Neodiprion lecontei: one gene and its partner. The protein of the gene in region 1 purifies or fractionates together with the protein of each later gene. This does not show direct contact. Links are inferred from orthologs where the notes say so. Each region holds a gene or a part of one and is shown in the gene's direction. Other genes may lie near its edges.

What was found.
Region 2: the proteins of serine/threonine-protein phosphatase 5 (region 1) and co-chaperone protein daf-41 purify together in Homo sapiens (affinity purification with mass spectrometry; 5 studies listed by BioGRID and IntAct, with this or other methods). This does not show direct contact. The link is inferred for Neodiprion lecontei from reciprocal best matches to the Homo sapiens genes PPP5C and PTGES3.

What each region holds. Positions count from the first base shown.
Region 1 is NC_060264.1:9,722,744-9,731,139, reverse strand, and holds the start of serine/threonine-protein phosphatase 5, read left to right. Parts: upstream 1-3,947; 5' UTR 3,948-4,092; coding exon 4,093-4,189; intron 4,190-5,475; coding exon 5,476-5,865; intron 5,866-6,389; coding exon 6,390-6,676; intron 6,677-6,822; coding exon 6,823-6,928; intron 6,929-7,525; coding exon 7,526-7,668; intron 7,669-8,180; coding exon 8,181-8,396. Other genes in the region: CD63 antigen, read right to left, coding at 385-459. UniProt on the Homo sapiens protein: Serine/threonine-protein phosphatase that dephosphorylates a myriad of proteins involved in different signaling pathways including the kinases CSNK1E, ASK1/MAP3K5, PRKDC and RAF1, the nuclear receptors NR3C1, PPARG, ESR1 and ESR2, SMAD proteins and TAU/MAPT.
Region 2 is NC_060263.1:36,971,840-36,981,673, forward strand, and holds co-chaperone protein daf-41, read left to right. Parts: upstream 1-5,589; 5' UTR 5,590-5,670; coding exon 5,671-5,798; intron 5,799-6,527; coding exon 6,528-6,918; intron 6,919-8,795; coding exon 8,796-8,924; 3' UTR 8,925-9,138; downstream 9,139-9,834. UniProt on the Homo sapiens protein: Cytosolic prostaglandin synthase that catalyzes the oxidoreduction of prostaglandin endoperoxide H2 (PGH2) to prostaglandin E2 (PGE2).

The sequences.
Region 1 (8,396 bases):
CCAAAGGTTGAAACATTTGCGAAAACAAATGGAAAAATACACAAGCTGATACATTGCGAGTAGCTTATACCGATAAAAATACCTCTCTCGTTCCTTTCGCAAGGTCAGGACAAATAAAGTATAAATAAAGTAACCATACACGTGAATAAAGTGTGAGAAACAGATTGATGAGTTTAAAGTTAATTTCAAAAAAGAAATTAGCTTCCCCGATTGAAAATTGGCCTAAACATTGTATGAATTCTTGTGGGATTATAGAACGGGCTTGCGTATGCATTTCTGTGAGTCTATTCGGTATAATTTTTGTAATGCAAGGCTGCAGAAATGATGTAACTCTGTGCGAACAGGAGAGTTAGGTAAAGTGTGTTATACTACAGCAATACAGACCACAAAAAGTGCGTTTACTGCACAAAGCAGGTACTTGATACATCGTAGACCGACGTCGAGATGCGTTGCGCCCATAATTGAAGTGTCTAGTATTGTCCTTGTTGTTTCCGATGACAGTATAAATCCGCTTCTGCACTTCGTTATTTATTCCCGATCGTCGATGTACTTCCTCGCACTGTATAAGCGTGTGGCTGTTTCAAGTCGCGAAATGTTAATGGCGACCGTGCATGGCTTAAGTGGCGAGTCAGGTGCGCCGCTATCTACTGATAATAAAAATGAAAATACACGAATAATTTTAAAACAATTCTGTACACTCGGTTACGGGAGAAAATTTGTCGAATTTTTATGCAATGCAGACGGAGAGGAATCGGTGGAGAGAACCAGTTTACACGATATGATCGTCCAATTATCACGCTGAATAAAAGAGAAATGAAATAAATGGAATTTCCCTGATTTATATCATTTAGCAGCTAGACTATACTTATAGGTAGGTATATAGGTATATCACAATCGATCGGCAGACGTGTGTCACTGTCAAGTACGGAAAGGTGAATTATCGTCCACTTCAGTTCGCATAAACTTTCCTTATACACGACTTCGACCTGGTATAGTAAACGTACTTATATTATACGATATTGATGCGCAACCTCGTGATTATATGAGGGAAACATTTATATTTATGACTATGTAGAACGGCAGCTACCACGCTGCTCTCCAGTATGGGGAAAACATTTTGAAACTCGAACATTTGGCTGCTGATTGCCTGAAGCAAATACACCTAATTCGCAGTATTGAGGGTCACGATATACCAACAATTTTCAAGGAAGACCGAGTATAACACGTTACTACATAATCACAGAAGAGGGAAAACTGCCAGCTTCAACTTCTGTATATCTCCGTTTGTGTGATCTGTGTTAATGTAAGAGCAGCACATTCAGAGCCTGCTAATTATCTTGAATATGCATATCTCACTATATGTGACACGGTATGTTATACCTACGCATCTTGTATACCTGTAGGTCATGCTTGTAACAGCACGGATTGGTTCATAAAAAGATGGTCGCTAATAATACTCTGGGACATGAGATAAGCCTTAAGAAATGTCGATTACGTGATTTACTCCGAGTACATATTTACTTATAGTCTTTTAACTACGCTTCATAAATCCTAATTGCCGATATGGCATTGAAAATTGAATCCCTTCAGACACGAGAAATACCCATTTTATATTTCAGTACACAATATTTCGTAAGAAGTATGTACATCTTATAATTTCCTATCCTAACAAAATTTTCATACATCTTATATCTATTATTTAAGACTTATGATTATTATTTGACCTATATTCTTGTGTGTAAGAACTCATTTTTGTCTCCACAGAAAAATTTATCGTATGGAACATTATGCTCTTTGAAAAAAATACGCAAGCTTAAAGTAGTGAATATGGTAATCACTTTACTTCGTAATTAATTGTTTCAAAATTGGTAAGTAGAGTTTGTGAGAAAGAAAAAACTTTCAAGTTTGCGAAAATGACATTTGAACGGGTGTATCTTAACACTATTATGTAGGTATACTATAGGGTAGATTCCGATGTATTTCACACTTCCAAATGAAACCAATTTTTGCATAATATATTTACTGATTCCATCTAATTTTTACTCTCCGAGAAGACAGTTTATCGGCATTTCAAATGATCCGAAATTTTGCAAAAATTGCAGTTCTAATGCCACGTAATGTATTGTAGTGACAAGATTTGCGCACACCGCAAACTTTAATGAAACTCTTTTCCAAAATTCAAGTAGAACATGTTGCCCGGAATTAATTTAGGCACTTTGATATAGATATATTTCGTAACCTTGACAGAAAGAGTAGCCAAAGATCTTAACAGGATGTTTATTGGACTAAATGCCGAGAGTAAATAGGTGCTAAAGAGGGCAGAAAAATTAAATTGAGAAGATGAATCTCACGAAATACGATACAGCGTGAAAAAAAAAAATTCAAACACGATGCAAATTGTCAAACGACACGCACCGGTAAGCTTCTATACTAAAATATTCATACTCGTATTGTTCAGTTGCATGTCAAATCACAATGTAATAATAAGCGGTATTTTAATAGACCATTTTGTCATAGATATTACCGAGAACCGACAAAACAGTTTTACACTTCGACATTTTAAATTTCTGATGCACTTTGGCTGAGTACCGACAGAGTATGCCGACAGTCAATGAAAGACCGCTTTTATTACATTATATTGCAGCTACCACTGATCTCGCTACTACACTTTCCTACGCGTTCTGAATGAGTTACAAGAGTATGATAGCATTTAATTGGTGAATGTGTTATATAAGACCACTGAGCTCAGACACATGCTGAGAGAGATTGGCAACGGTTTTTTTTCCGTACAGTCCAATCCAAAAAGTTGACATGTTCTGTCAAAAGAATAATTCATACTTACAGGTTATACGTGACACCGCTATCTCGATGCCATATGTTAGTTATTGCATCCACGAATACAAAACGCATGCGCCATTGTTGATTTCTTAATGTTGTACCAATTACTTGTCTCTCACTGTCCTCTGGTGAATGCGACCGCGTTGACGAACAAACTTTTTGTTGGTATTATACCAAGTTACCCGCGCGCATGCGCAACGCAGTAAGACAGAGAAAAAGATACTATCAGCCACGGACTAAAAAGTATACAGAGAGGATACCCTTTACTCCCTCGGAGTAGATAAGACACCGATTTATACCGTTGACTTATCCTCAGTCAACGTATATACTAACATTAAATCAACAATATCGGTAGAAAGTGTTTGCGCGATTCACGCTATAACTATGTTCATACAGCTCGACTCATTTCGCGAAATGTAATTTTCACGTATTTCTGACTCTCGATGTGAATAACTGTCTATATAATATACTTTAAATTAAAAGTGATTTTCGAATTAAAAATTCTTCAATTTTCACTGATATAGTATTTGTATTAAGGATCGTGAACAAAATGCCGTATTATACAGCCACAGTTTACAGTTCATACTTTACTCACCCCAAATATGTATTTTATGTTAAGAAATAACCCAAGCATTACTTACAATAAATATATAGAAATTGCATAAATATTCCTATTTGATGCTGTACAAATTTCAAGTGTTTCTTGTATCTATTAATATAAAAATATGTTACTTATCTCAAATGCGTGAAGCAAACAATAAATCAAAATTAGATCAACTTAATTGCTATGCTTATGCCGTTGATGTAATTCTTATATGGTTTGTATGTGGCGCGCAAACACCTCCTACCAAGATGGCGGACATGGCTGATTCCAGGGTCTAATCTAGGGACTGAAATAGATATCTCGCTAGCACATTCGTGTCTAGCGTTACGATAATGCAGTGTGTACTGGTGTGTAGGACAGTTAGGCACACGGAACGCGAATCAGGCGTGAACCAATCATGAATTTCTGTATTTCAAACGATGACTTGTCCATGCGTTACGATGTTGACGATGATTGGTTTATTTTCTGGGTATTCATGAACACGGGAATGAACATTTTGCTGCAGATCCGCCTTTAGGTATCATACATGCATTTGTAAAAGAAAGCCAGCCCTTTCTTTTTAATGCCTTATTTATTACCTGTCTTCTAAGATAATTTAAGTATAGTTTCTCCATTATCTGTTCAATCGTATAAAAGTACATCATTACAAAATGAGTGAGAACGCTGAAATAACTGGAGCAATATCTTCTTCCGACGATATCAAGACAGCCGAAAAGTTCAAAGAAGAGGCAAACGAGTACTTCAAAAGTATGTTGCATTCACGATTTTCATATATTTACCAATGTATACTGATAAATATCGTTATCAATCGCTCCAGACCGATTCCGATGAAATTCGTTAAATCCTTACCAATTTTTCAAGATCGGTCACGTGCAATCAAACTAACCAAACTTAGTGTTTGCGATTCTAAAATTCGCATTTCATCGGTTCCCTATTCCTTTCAAATAATCCTACTAGTAATTTCTAACCTGTAATATTAGTTTTATAACTGCAACTAGGTTTAAGAATATTTAAGGTTTATGTCATCGATGTGGTTCCTCACTTGTCTTCCTTCATGACTTTTCAGATGCGACTGAATGACAAAAATCTCTTCCCTACTCTACATAAGAAAAATGAGCCCTGTATTCCATTAGTATATGTTCACCTTTCCCCAAATTCAGGATGAACGGTTCACGTTACCTTAATTATAATCTTATATCTCAATCATTGATTTCTTTGAACAATAAGTAATTTCACTTCTACGTCTATTGGTCCGAGAAATAACGATTCTCAATTGAATGACTTCCAAATTTCGAGGGTTAAAAATTCAACCCTTCCCATATGATTGCATGTAAAGAAAGTTTCACACAAATTAAATAACATGATAAAATTCACAAATTTAAATGTAAGAAGAATCGTTATGTTTTATCACAAAGGCTATGATATCAGTCAAACAACAATCTTAATGTGCAATAAAGCTACCTTTTATGATTGGGGTTGTGTATACTATGTGACAGAATCATATTTAAAAGAAATTTCACTGATTCTAGTGAAAGTGTGAAACAAAAAAACTTATACCAATAGTTAGAAAAATGTCATGACAGTTTGTGGAAACGTACATATCAAATATGTGACGAAACATTTGTTATACCTTCCGTTATATATTAGTTAATGTTAATAAGGTCGAGCCACAATAGTCTTAGTGTTCAAAATATTTTTCCTCTAAAAAACAAATGTGAAAAGTTGGTAGATAAACAAAATAAGCTTCCAAAATATTATACAACTATCCTTTTGGAATAAACCACAACATTCTTATAGTACCTTTACAGATAATTGAAACATGATTCTAACAAGACTTTTTTCTATCACATTCTTAAAAACCAATTTGAACTTCATTTCGATTCAACACCAGACTAATTAATTACTCGAGAAGTATTTCAGAAAATTAATATTTTACGGCTACTGATTGGCGATGTTTCAAATAATCAAAGTAACACGCGAAATTTTTTGTTAGTAAACAATTTTTTAAATTAATGCATCTATTTCTTTTACAGAACAAGATTATAATCGAGCTATAGAATTGTACACAAAAGCGATAGAAGTGGACCCCACTGTCGCTGTATATTATGGAAACAGAAGTTTTGCCTACCTGAAAACCGAATGTTTCGGATATGCCCTGACGGATGCCTCAAAGGCAATTGAATTAGACCGAAACTATGTAAAAGGCTATTACAGAAGAGCAGCAGCTTACATGTCGCTTGGTAAATTTAAGCTGGCTCTTAAGGACTATGAAACAGTGACAAAGGCCAGGCCCAATGACAAGGATGCTAAAACAAAATTCACTGAATGCAATAAAATGGTGAAAAAACTAGCTTTCGAAAAAGCCATCTCTGTTGAAGAGAATAAGAAGAATATAGCTGACACGATTAATCTTGATGACATGGGTAAGTCTAAAATATCACAAATACAAACACTGAATTTTACTAAAATGAATCAATTAGAGCTACGATTTTTTATTGGTCTAATTTTTATCTCAAGTATAAGCTGAAGGCTGTCAAATTCGGAACCTGTGTAAACCCAATTTTTTTTAAAATACTGATGGTGTTTTTCAAGTGTGCTGTTAGCTTCCAATTATCACCGAATTCATGTGAAAGTTCAAAAATGATTTCTAAACTGCCTGCGAATATTTTTCTAAAATCTCAAATTAGCTAATACAGTGTACAAAAATATACCAATCTAATAATTTCCAATTCCCAGTAAATGAGTATTACCAATCAAAAGACGGTCTCAGGTACGCACTATATACCCCAAAAATAAATATATACCTTATTCAAGGGTTGATAAACAGAATCCGCAAGTTAACTACAGATTTTCCAGAACAACAAGATCTTGTAAAAATATCGTTGAGAAACACACTGAGTCTTGTTTAAATTTTATTAACTTCAATATTGATGATCATTCTACTTAGCAATTGAAGACGAATACACCGGACCAAAACTAGAAAATGACAAAGTAACCTTGGAGTTTATGACGGATTTACTATCTTGGTATAAGAAGCAAAATAAACTTCATCGCAAGTATGCCTACAAGATACTTCTCGATATCAAAGCATGGTTTATGGCGCAGCCAAGCTTAGTAGATATTTCTATACCTGACAAGAGCAAGTTTACCATTTGCGGCGATATACATGGCCAGTATTATGATCTACTCAACGTATTCAAGCTGAATGGTCTACCCTCGGAAACCAATCCTTATGTATCCTTTTTGTTGATCAGATTAAACCACTGTGAACATAATATTAAGACATTCTCAATCGCTCAAAGTGCACTTCATCATCAAATAATGTCTACTTTCACAACTATGCGTTACAATGAGCAGTAATTTTCCTCAATATTGAATAGTTATTTAACGGAGACTTTGTGGACAGAGGATCCTTTTCTGTAGAGTGTATATTCACGTTGTTCGGCTTCAAGCTTCTATATCCCAATCACTTTTTCATGTCAAGGGGTGAGTTTTGGTTCATCATTATAAGTATTGTGAATTACCTAGTACTAGCAATGAGTCTATTTAAAATGAAGGATATTTTACTTACTATAAAAACAGTCATACTTTTACAATTGTAATTATAAAACTGATATTATTTCAAGTTATTTCATAGCAATTTTTCATTCATCTTTCTTCCATATGCTTATCGGTATTGCGGGAGAGAAATGATGAGATTTTCGGTTTAGAGTTTACATTCTTTGGATGACCGGTACATTTCTCATTGTCAATTTTGTGCAGAGCTACAGTAGAGTAAAAAAATAGTGTGCCAGTATTCTGTTGAAAAAAACCACAAGACACAGAATAGCTAGCTTGAAATGAGTATTTATAATAATTAGAGCGTCTATAGATAATATCTATCGTCGTTAGTCTCAATAGTAAAACAATGCGTAAACTGGTCTGGTCAATTATTGGTAAAAATTTGCAATATCTAATGATACAAAGCTGTCTTAAGTGTTTTGATCATATTTAGTGAGCTATCATTGAATGCACTTAATCACAAATGCTAATCCAATGCTGTGTTCTACGTTTTATTAATTATCGCATCAATTCGTTGGCCAGGAAACCATGAATCTGCAACTATGAATCAAATGTATGGCTTTGATGGCGAGGTCAAGGCAAAATACACAGCACAAATGGCGGAACTTTTCACAGAGGTTTATAATTGGCTGCCTCTTGCGCACTGCCTCAATAGTAAAGTGCTTGTAAGTATGTGCATGTGATATTTAAAATATGTACCAGTAATATTTACCAGTATAACCAATTTACCATAAGTACCAGTATAAGCATATTGCAATATCAATTTTGTTAAGTTAATAACTTCTACAATCAACATTTATCTGTGAACTTACCTCTTCAGAGATATGTGGTTATATCTAATTACTGCCTTACTCTTATTCTTTGCTCTGAATGCCTCTGTATCCGTAAATGTAAACGACTGTTTAATTTTTCCATTTTATTTATATTCTGGACATTCATTTTTAGCCCTAAGTGTTTGGGATTGTCCTTCATTTATGAATTGATTATACGTGTATTTCGACATTAAGTAACCCTAAACGATCAAATTTATGTGTAGAATATTATTGTGAATTTTATTCGTAGAATGAAGTTTCATAATAACATCATGACAGATAAATGTAAATAGTTTTCGGGTATAATTCCCATGATATCAAATTTTGTACAGAATTTTGATAAAATTAAATTATTTTCTGGCCAGGTGATGCATGGAGGACTATTTTCAAGGGACGATGTGACGTTGTCCGAAATTCGAGAAATAGATAGAAACCGGCAGCCACCGGAAGAAGGACTGATGTGTGAATTGTTATGGTCAGATCCACAGCCTCAGCCGGGCCGAGCCCCTAGTAAAAGAGGGGTTGGGGTTCAATTTGGACCCGACGTCACACACAATTTCCTCAGTCTGAACGGACTTGAT
Region 2 (9,834 bases), on another chromosome or scaffold:
CTCCTCCGCAACGACGTGCTTAACCCACGTACGTATCGTGCCGCAATGGAGATGCGTTATGCGTGTACGCGACGTATGGATGGACGTACGTAACTGCAACATGGTTAAAATTATAGACGCCGCCTTGTCTGCAAGTTCGTCTCGCCATTTTGCGTTGTACGCGATTATTGAAATACAGTCGAAGGCTTTTACGACTTTGTGCAAGTTGTTTTTGTTTTTTTTTCTTTTGAAGGATAAATTACGTCGCCATTATTATAACAGATGTGAAAAATCAGATTGCCATTATTTAGGTAGATATTTATATATATATATATATAAGCGCTTGGTCTTCGCTGCAAGGTCACTATTCGACTGACTCGAATTGTCAGGGTCTCTGATCTCTTCGAAAAAGAAGCCTGCATGTCGTATCATGGACGAAGGAAATCAGAACAAGGATCAACTTGGCTGGATGGTATAATTTATACACGTCTGTGTAACTGTGATCATGATTCACTATATAGTGATCAATAAGCCCAAACAGTTAACTCACACCGAACCCCGCAGAATTTTTCACCGTTTAATTTCGCGACGAAATTATACCTAGGTGATATATTCCGCAGACTCCTGACGTGTGTAAACAGTCTAAAAATTACCTGTACCCACGTGTTATTTACCTGGTAAAATATTTTTCTCGACATTTTAATCAAGAATAATAATATATGCAGTATTATGTTATTATACGATTGAAGCAACGGTTCGCAATGGAAAATTTTGACACGGTTTTCGTAAGTTGAATAAAAAATAGAGGTATTTTTATTACGATGTGAACAACTGACTGACGAATAGGTACAGTAATGTTCATTAATGCCTTGAGCTTAAGGCTAACTTGTTTGCGGTCCGAAACAAAATGCGAGTCTCGATTCTATACGAATTTTATGACAGTGACCGGCTGTGCAGTTGATATGAGAGATTGGGAGGCATTGTCACATAATTCGTATAGAATCGAAACTCGCATTTTGTTTCGGACCGCAAACAAGTTAGCCGTAATCTCAAGGCAATAATGAACATTACTGTACAACTATTTGGCTCATGAATTACATGAATTTTTTGCCAGTTTATTGCAAGAACTAAAAACATATGAAACCGCTGTCTGATCGTCTCGATGAAAGCTGATGGTATTTTTTTTGCGTTGGTAAAGCAATAAGGGGAGAATAATTTTTTTTTTAAATTTGGTATAAATTACCGTGCAGGCTTACAAATGCCTATTTATTCGTCTTTCCTACCGCTCGACAGTTGGATGTTACGTAGTTTAGAGGAATCGAAATAACCTCCGGATCATTCGAAGACGAAATGTGCGCGAGGGCGGGCGATAAGCTATCTTTACTATTGTGGGCATTCACGCCTATACACCGCACTTAATCGCTAGATGAAGTTTCGTAAACAGTTCTATCGCGTTGCTCAATTGGTAATAACCCGCTCACAATCATAGGAAGTTTACGATACTCTTGAACGGAAAGTATAGTCTTGTACACTATTTCGGAAATATTTACTTCAACTAATCACGAAGTCAGACATGCGTTTCGATTATTGTTTCAACATAACGGAACTGAAAGAATCAAAACCCTGTCCTCTGCTTAAACGAAATAAAAAATTAACGGAAGCCAATCAAAGAAATATTCGGTATTGTCATTTTAATTGGGAATTAAACTCGGAATGGCAAATCGTAAAGTTAAGCCGCTTTAACGATTCTTTCCAAACGGTTTTAATTAGCTGGGATGTTCCCGGAACATCTCTCTGCAGCACTATCTCTGTATTAAATTGTGTAATTTTAATGATAAACAGGAAAAAAATCTTCGCCACTGTGCGAACTGTGATATTTCAGTAACGAGTCGATTTAATGCAATAATATTATAAATCTGTGCTGAATCTGCGACGGCGACAATTTTGTAGGCCACAATCAACGCGGAATCTATAAAAATGAAAGAGAATCGTAACCTTAAAGATGGAACGGTTTTTATCGAATTTCAAAACACGCTAAAAGTTAATATATCGCGTTGATTACTGTACGCGTATTCGCTTACAACATATGTATAAGTCGGAGTTCGAAAGAGAAATGATATTTAGGTTTACGTAATTATTGTATGCCTATCTGTAAGTATGCATATATATATATATATATATATATATATATATATATATATTATATGTACAAGAAAGAGATACATCCGTATGTACACATTACACATATACATATGTATAATAACTGAATAAATTTTACAGACTGTTATAATGTCACACACGTGTGTGCTCGTCGTGCGGAGGAAGACGTGCCAATTTGTGTACGTATAATATATGTAAACACATTAATATGCGTATCCCTCTTGTTTTACTCCTCTCCTCATATTATATGCAGCCGTTTGCGTGGGAGGCCGTGGTCCAGTATAATAAAACAAGATGCAAACCTCTGACATAAGACTTTCACCCCTGAGGGCCCTTCGATTATCAGGCTTGTATTAGACCACGATCACGCGTTACGTTCGTAATTCTTCTAATCTATTATCCGATCCCTGTATAATTATGTAACGAAAATAAAAGACAAGGAAGTGGAAGCCGGTTGAACTTTGCGTTTGTGAAGCAGGCTATAAGGCTAAGAGCTGCGGTCTTAGTACTGTTAAAATAGACTCGTGGGAATGGACTTGCAGGCGTAGACGCACCTCGATCGTCGAAGGAAATGCAAACACTGCACTTCATTACACTTATAGATCCAATAAGAAAGAGGAAATCGTCATGGCGTGCGAGTGCGCCGATTCACACCGTACGTACGAAATTCGAAGTTAATAAATATTATACGCTTTGTGTGAACATCGCTCCGAAGTATAATATATACATATATATATATATATACATATACACAATGTGTATGAGGTATAATAAAACGAACCTGTTTCTGTAGGTTAGCTGCACTTTTTTTCCTTCGTTTGGCAAATTTTTTTTTAAGAAACATATATAACAGATATATTTATCCCTGAAGCTCTTTTCTTTTTTTCTTCACTCGACTAAAGTGTGTGCAATTTTTATACATTTATTATTATCACCGTACGAAAGTTCGATTTATAATTATTTATAAATTTTAACCAACATTGCAACAGTCGAACAGGAATGTCCAGTTTTTCATTCGACTTGTACTGCACGTAGTCATATTTAGGCAACAGATTATAGCTGATAATTTCACGATAGCATCATTTCTCCTTCTCAGTTTAACGGCACCACGTGACATCATGATGTGTAGAAAAAAAAAGGGAAAAAATAAACAACAACAGATACGAAACCTGCGAGCTCGCGATGCATCGAATACGGTGCGTGTGTAACGGATTGATCAACATTTAGTGCCGATTAAGAAAATTTATTTTTATTTCTACACGCGGTATCAATCTGTTCGTGTATCTAATTATATACATACATCTACTTTCTGTTTCTGTATCGAAAGAATTAAACATAAAGCAATAAATGCATCACGAAGTGTATTTCGTATTTCATTTCATTTCATTCAATTCAGTATTATCATTTTTTGTATTTTTATTAAATTGTCCAGTGTGGGCAGTTGATTGCTGCGTAATTAGCAATTAATGCCTGCGCAGGACAGGTGATTCACATGAAGTCACGCCTGCATACTGATATAAAAGAATAGCTGAATATAGGTACGCATGTATGTAACGCGATGTGCATACGTTGCAATACGCATAGGTGATTACGTATTAAACCTTCTGGATCTGCAATAGCGTTAAATAAATATACTCACCGCATATTTGTCCTTGTAGAAGAGCGAACTTGTAGACATGGTGTTAATTTTAATTAAACAAACAAGCACTGATCTGGGCTACCTCAAACAAACAGCAAGTCAATACTCAGATTTGATACGGTCGTCATGATTGCTTTATTTAACATACATGCAATACGATACTGACTACATAGTTTAACACACTGCAGTCCACTGGCCACTGACGGATTGTACACATTGAACCGAACCGAGTTTTATATTTATAAAGAAAAAGCAAAACGAAAAAGTACTTCGCTGATCGGAGATAATGATGAGCGCACAGTGTCTGTCCATGCCATGGATGTACGTATGTGGCAAGGCATCAAAGCAGACGCTCGCCGTGTCGCAACTATAATTATTTAACTAATTTATTATGTATCTCAAGTATATAGTAGTGGACACTCGGCGGTCTATTCGTCACCTGGATTCAACTCGAAGGAGAAAGAGACTGGAAAACCTACTGTGTATGTCCAGTTAGATCGTCGCTACCAGAAGGGTACAGCCCCTCCATATCCATTGCAAGTGACCTACAATCTAAGTGCTGTTCCTCCCTACCACCTTCTCATCTCTTACCGATCTTAAGGAAGATTGGAGAGTTTGGTCAATACGGATTCCTCGATACGAACGGGTGGATTCGGCTTCTACGATCGTTTCGACACAAAACGTTGATAAAAAACTATCATCCAAATGATAATTATCACTCAAACGGAAACGCTGTAAGAGGGATAGATTTTTCGAAATATATGCGTTTCGCGAATATTTATACTTATCGCGGAAGCGCAAATTTCAGAATTTCATATATTTGTGTCCTCGATTTTTGATATTAATTTATTTATGTTGCAGCTATACTCCACGCGCGTAAATCTTCTACTCACTACCTGTGCAATAGATCGAGAAAGTTGATCACTTTTTTTTTCTCTCTCTCTTTCTCCTTCTTTTCATTTTATTTTAGTCGTACGTTCAACTTTGCTGCTTAAAAATTGTTATTGTAAAAACTTTGACGGAAGAATAGAGCATGGCGTATGGCAAGCGTTACTAAAGAATCGGTAGATTAATTGTTTTTAGAATTGTTGGGATTGTGTGATATTACACTTTTGACTAAAAGTTAGTTGAAAAGATGCAAACATTATTGTGCTGTGAATTTGAAATTTTACCGCATCGATGCAAATATGTATGGCACGCAATTGCTTTCGTTTACTCTTAGGTAAACCGAGATCGCCGAGAGATCATACTCGTATATTGATGCAGGTAGTCATCTATTATTGAAACTGACAATATGTATCATTACAAACGCTGGGTAATTCGAAAATGATTCAGTTATATTATAATTGATGTCTTTCTGACTCAGTCACGATGAAACGATTCATCCGATTTTCTTTACATAACGATTCTGTGAGTATATGACGATGAGAACTATTTAGCATAATCTATTAAATAATATCCAATGTGGTAACCTGTGCTTACCTATAAACCGCAATAGCAGTCAACATCCATCTTTATCGAAATGCCGGTTTTCGCATCAAGATACTATTACGACCACGTTCAATATGCGTTGCATCATTTTTCCACTTTGAATTCCCCGGGCTGAGCGTATCCTTCGATTATCTCGAAATCGATTTCGATTCGGATGAAAATCGATCTTCTCTCGTATCGAGACATCGAACCACGAATACATTGATGATCGTACGGCGATAAAAATATATTTTTAACCTGTCCACTTTTTGCTCGCCGCTAACAATTGCGAAGCGAGGGATACTTTTAGAGTTATTCCATCAACGGGATTCTTTGTTCTGCGGTGTGACAGGCATTATTATACGTTTTAAGTTTCGAGATTTGCCCAATAATAATGGCCGACGCTCTATTGTCCTGTCGATATGAATACACCTCGAAGATTGAATATCGAAAACATTTCTCGAGTTAGTTGTGCGGCGCGGTACGTAAGTCTTGCACGTTTGTTTCTTTTCGCTGGAAAAAGCAGCTACAAAATGACTCAAGAGGGACAGTAAGTAGCTAATAATTGACTTAAGCCTAGTTCAAAATGTAGAGTTGGATTTTGTGTCGAAACCTGGCTCACCGTCCGGTACATTATTCGTGCTAAATTGATTGTAAAAATACGCCTGCCGCCCTGCAGGCTTTCGAAACGCCGCCATGTTGTGAAATGGTTTTATTGATTCTCGAAATTTCTAGAAAACTAGTTCTAACCGACAATATTTACCTCGGGAGGGCTCCCTTATTAAATTATCGAATAAACTATTATCTATTCCTGTAATCGACGTCATGCCAACCGAATAAAACACCCTCTCGACCTCTCGAGACGCTTCGAATTCCCAAGCGGCTTGATGCGGCTCATGCTCGTAATCGTGTAACACGAGAGTACGAAAATGTTTTCTCTACTGATAAATCTGGCTTCTTATCAGCAGCCCCTCGTTATTCGATTGCTCGCTCTCAGTGTCTACCCTGGATAATTTACGGCGCCATAAAAAAAAATACTGCCCTTTGTCGATACATCAATCGCCATTCGCACTTCCGGCGTATTATGACTTGCCATTATTTTCCTTCCCCATGACCACGTTTTGAATACCACGAGTTCAATAAACCAGTCACATTTTTTCGTAATTCGAATATCTAGCTCATTCATATCGCGGCTCGAAACGTCATGTTCATAACCAAGAATTTTTTTTTACGTTTTACTTGATATTTACGAATTCTTGCTGTCCTTGTTTATTCTCAGGGTGACACCTCCGCCGGTGATGTGGGCGCAAAGAAGTAACGTAGTGTACGTTACTATATGTCTGGAGGACTGTAAAGATCCCACAATCAAAGTTGAGCCCGATAAAATATATTTCTATGGTATTGGCGGCACTGAACGTAAGGCGCACGAGGTAACAATCAATTTGTACAAAGAAATCGACCCAGAAAAGACAATCCAAACTCCAAAGGGCAGGAATTTCGAATTGGTCCTTACAAAAAAGACTCTTGGACCATACTGGCCGCACCTGACGAAAGACAAACAAAAGTATCACTGGCTGAAAAGTGACTTCAACAAATGGCAAGATGAAGACGATAGCGAAGATGAAGCATCCTTCGGCGGTGGTGGTGGCGGAAACCGTGACTTGGAAGAGGTAACATTGATTGATCTGCTTAATTAATTCATTTTCATGAAAAGAGTCGTAATGTTTAGTCTTTTCACATGAAAATTGATAAACTGTACACGAGGGTGGTTTGTGGAAAACAATTGTGTATTTTTCCATCCTTCAAATATGTCGTTTCAACTGTATTTTAAAAATTTCACAACCCACTAGATTCCATAAATCTCTTTCTAAATTATCCCATGATACAACAAAATAAAATAGAATGTTTTTCAAATTTATAAGTGTGCATTAACTGAGCATAGAGTATAAGTTTGTCGATTCTCTTTGTGAATGATATTGATGGCGGAGTATAATCTTTGGCATTGTGATGACCAGTCAGGCGTCAAACAACAAATTTCATCCAAGAAAGCAGCTTTAAACTAAGATTCTCTCAGAAGTAAATAGTACTTTATGTGGCATGCCCGTAAAGTTGGTGTTTTTACGGCAAGGATAATGAACGAGTAAATTTCATTACAAGGTAAAAGCTAGCCAAAAGCGAGTAATGAAATCATTATACGAGCCAAAAGTACTTTACGGGTGCACCCCGCACAATGTTTTTTGCTGGCAAAACATGATAAGTCCCTTTGCCGTCTGTTGAAATCTACACCTCGGATCGTGCAACAGAAGTCGGAACTGCTGTATAAAGTCTATATGCCAGTTCTGAGATGCACACTTAGAACTGGGGATCGAAACTGCCGTATAAAGTCTTTGTATTCTATTCTGAGGTTAGCGGTACAAAGTGACACTTTACAGATCGAAAACAGGCGTCAAAAAGTGACTTTTTCATGCCTGTGTTAAAAAAACGAGTATATATGTGATATTCTTTATCTACAATTGTCGGTAGCTATTTAAATAGAAGAAACTTTGATTTATAGCTTCATATTCTTAAAATAATCGGTATCTCGTTTAAACAATTTAATTAAATGTATTTTGAGATTTCACGTGAACTTAACGCTATTGTATGTAACAAAGAAATGTTTCAAGCTTCAGGATTTTTAACTCAATAAGAGTTCAATATATCTTTTTTGTTTCATTTACATACGCTTAATGTTGAGCATACTGCATTGCCGAATGACAAAAAGCATAATATAATCCGTCGAACTTACCATAAAAAATAATGTAATAGTATATTGCGATACGAGTGCGTGAAGTTGGCGATACCTGACGAGCGTGAAGTTTGTTGCTCGAGCCGAAGGCGAGTGCAGCAATGAAACCCGTATTTATGACACATGATAATTTTTGCAACACCTGTAATGGGAAGTTCGACTTGAGACAATCGTAAACGTGGTCTAATGTTAATGTAGATGTGTTACTGCAACACAGCCGACGAAACTGTAGTCACGAGTCGATTGCGTCAAATGGCACTAGTTGTACTAGTTTAGCTCAGAAAACTGTTAGAAAAATACGAGTTCCTAACAGTTGTGTGATATTTCCCAACAGTTTCTGAACTGTGAGGAATGGGGTACTTCGCACATCCGCCACAGTGCACAAAGTCAAACTTCCCATGCAGGTGTTACAAAAACATCTTTTCATTCGCGTTTGGATACAGTTATAGTATTTCGTTATTAAATCTTATTGGCAAAGTACCCACTGTAAAGTTACACCTTAAAACTTATTTCATATTTTTTACCTTTAAAAGGCCTACCCGGCTCTTTTAGGAGTCAGCAGATAACTCGGAACCTCCACCTGATGTGTTGACTATTTATATACATAAATCATACCTCTAAATAATATTGAATTTCAAGGACAAAATGCCAGCCCTCTAAAAGTTAAAAATTATTTTTGCCAGAGTTGAAGTTTTGCAAAGTTTCTCATTGAGCGCTCTAATACAGAAAGTTCATATTTTTTTTTGCTTCTTCATTTTACAGATGATGCGCCAAATGGGAGGTTTGGGTGGTTCTGGAGACCGCAAGCCAAGTTTTGACGATTTAGATGACATGGGAGATGACGCCGATGGTCCAGACAGTGATGACGATGATATGCCAGATTTGGAATGAAATTGTTTGAAAAAAATCAACTTACCCTCTCGGAAAGAATTGTGAGCTAAAACAGGTGTTCTTTACAGGCGGAAACTTTCGCATGGCCGTCTTGTTTAGGAAAAAAAAAAAAATTCCATTGCGAATGCTTTTTGCAATTTTAGAATCAATGGCCAACAACGTAATACCTAACTTTTAGCTAAGCGCGGTGCGCGAAAGACCGAAAACTTGAAAAGAAGAAAAAATATATAATAACATCTTATAAAAAAAAAATAATGTTGCTGGTAAACGACGAGCAGCCGTACAGTTTTCGACCTCCCCCACCACTACCCATCCCTTAGTCTTTAGCTCGTAAACTAAGTTATAATGCAAAAGCTTTTTTTTTAACAATGAATGAATTAAATGTGTAAAATATTAAGAAGGATATAAAGAAAACCAATAAATGGAAAAAAAAACAGTCTGTTTATTTGATAAAAACTGTCGAGGCTAGATCTCCACATGTGTGAAATGCCTGCTCACACTACGTTAAGAAAAAGAAAACTGGTACATGAACGATTTATTTGATTATTCACATAAGTGAATAACAAGGAAGTTGTTTTCTTGTATATGTAAAAAATAGTTTACACCAAAGCAGGTTATGAAGTACTTACGTAACCATTTCATCGATATTAAAAACTTCCAACAACATTGCGTACAATAGAAGATAAATTGCTGTACCAACGACCACTGCCTAAAATTCAATGTATAAAATTTGTAACAAAATATTCAATATAGAACTGTAATAAATTCATTTACAGAGATGAGTTTCATGGCAGGTGTCATAACTGATTTCAGAGCTATAAATGTATTTTGTAAACCTTAAACTCACACTGATTATACCTTGACTTTAATTATGATTACAATGATGAGTTTCACAGCCTGACGCAGTATG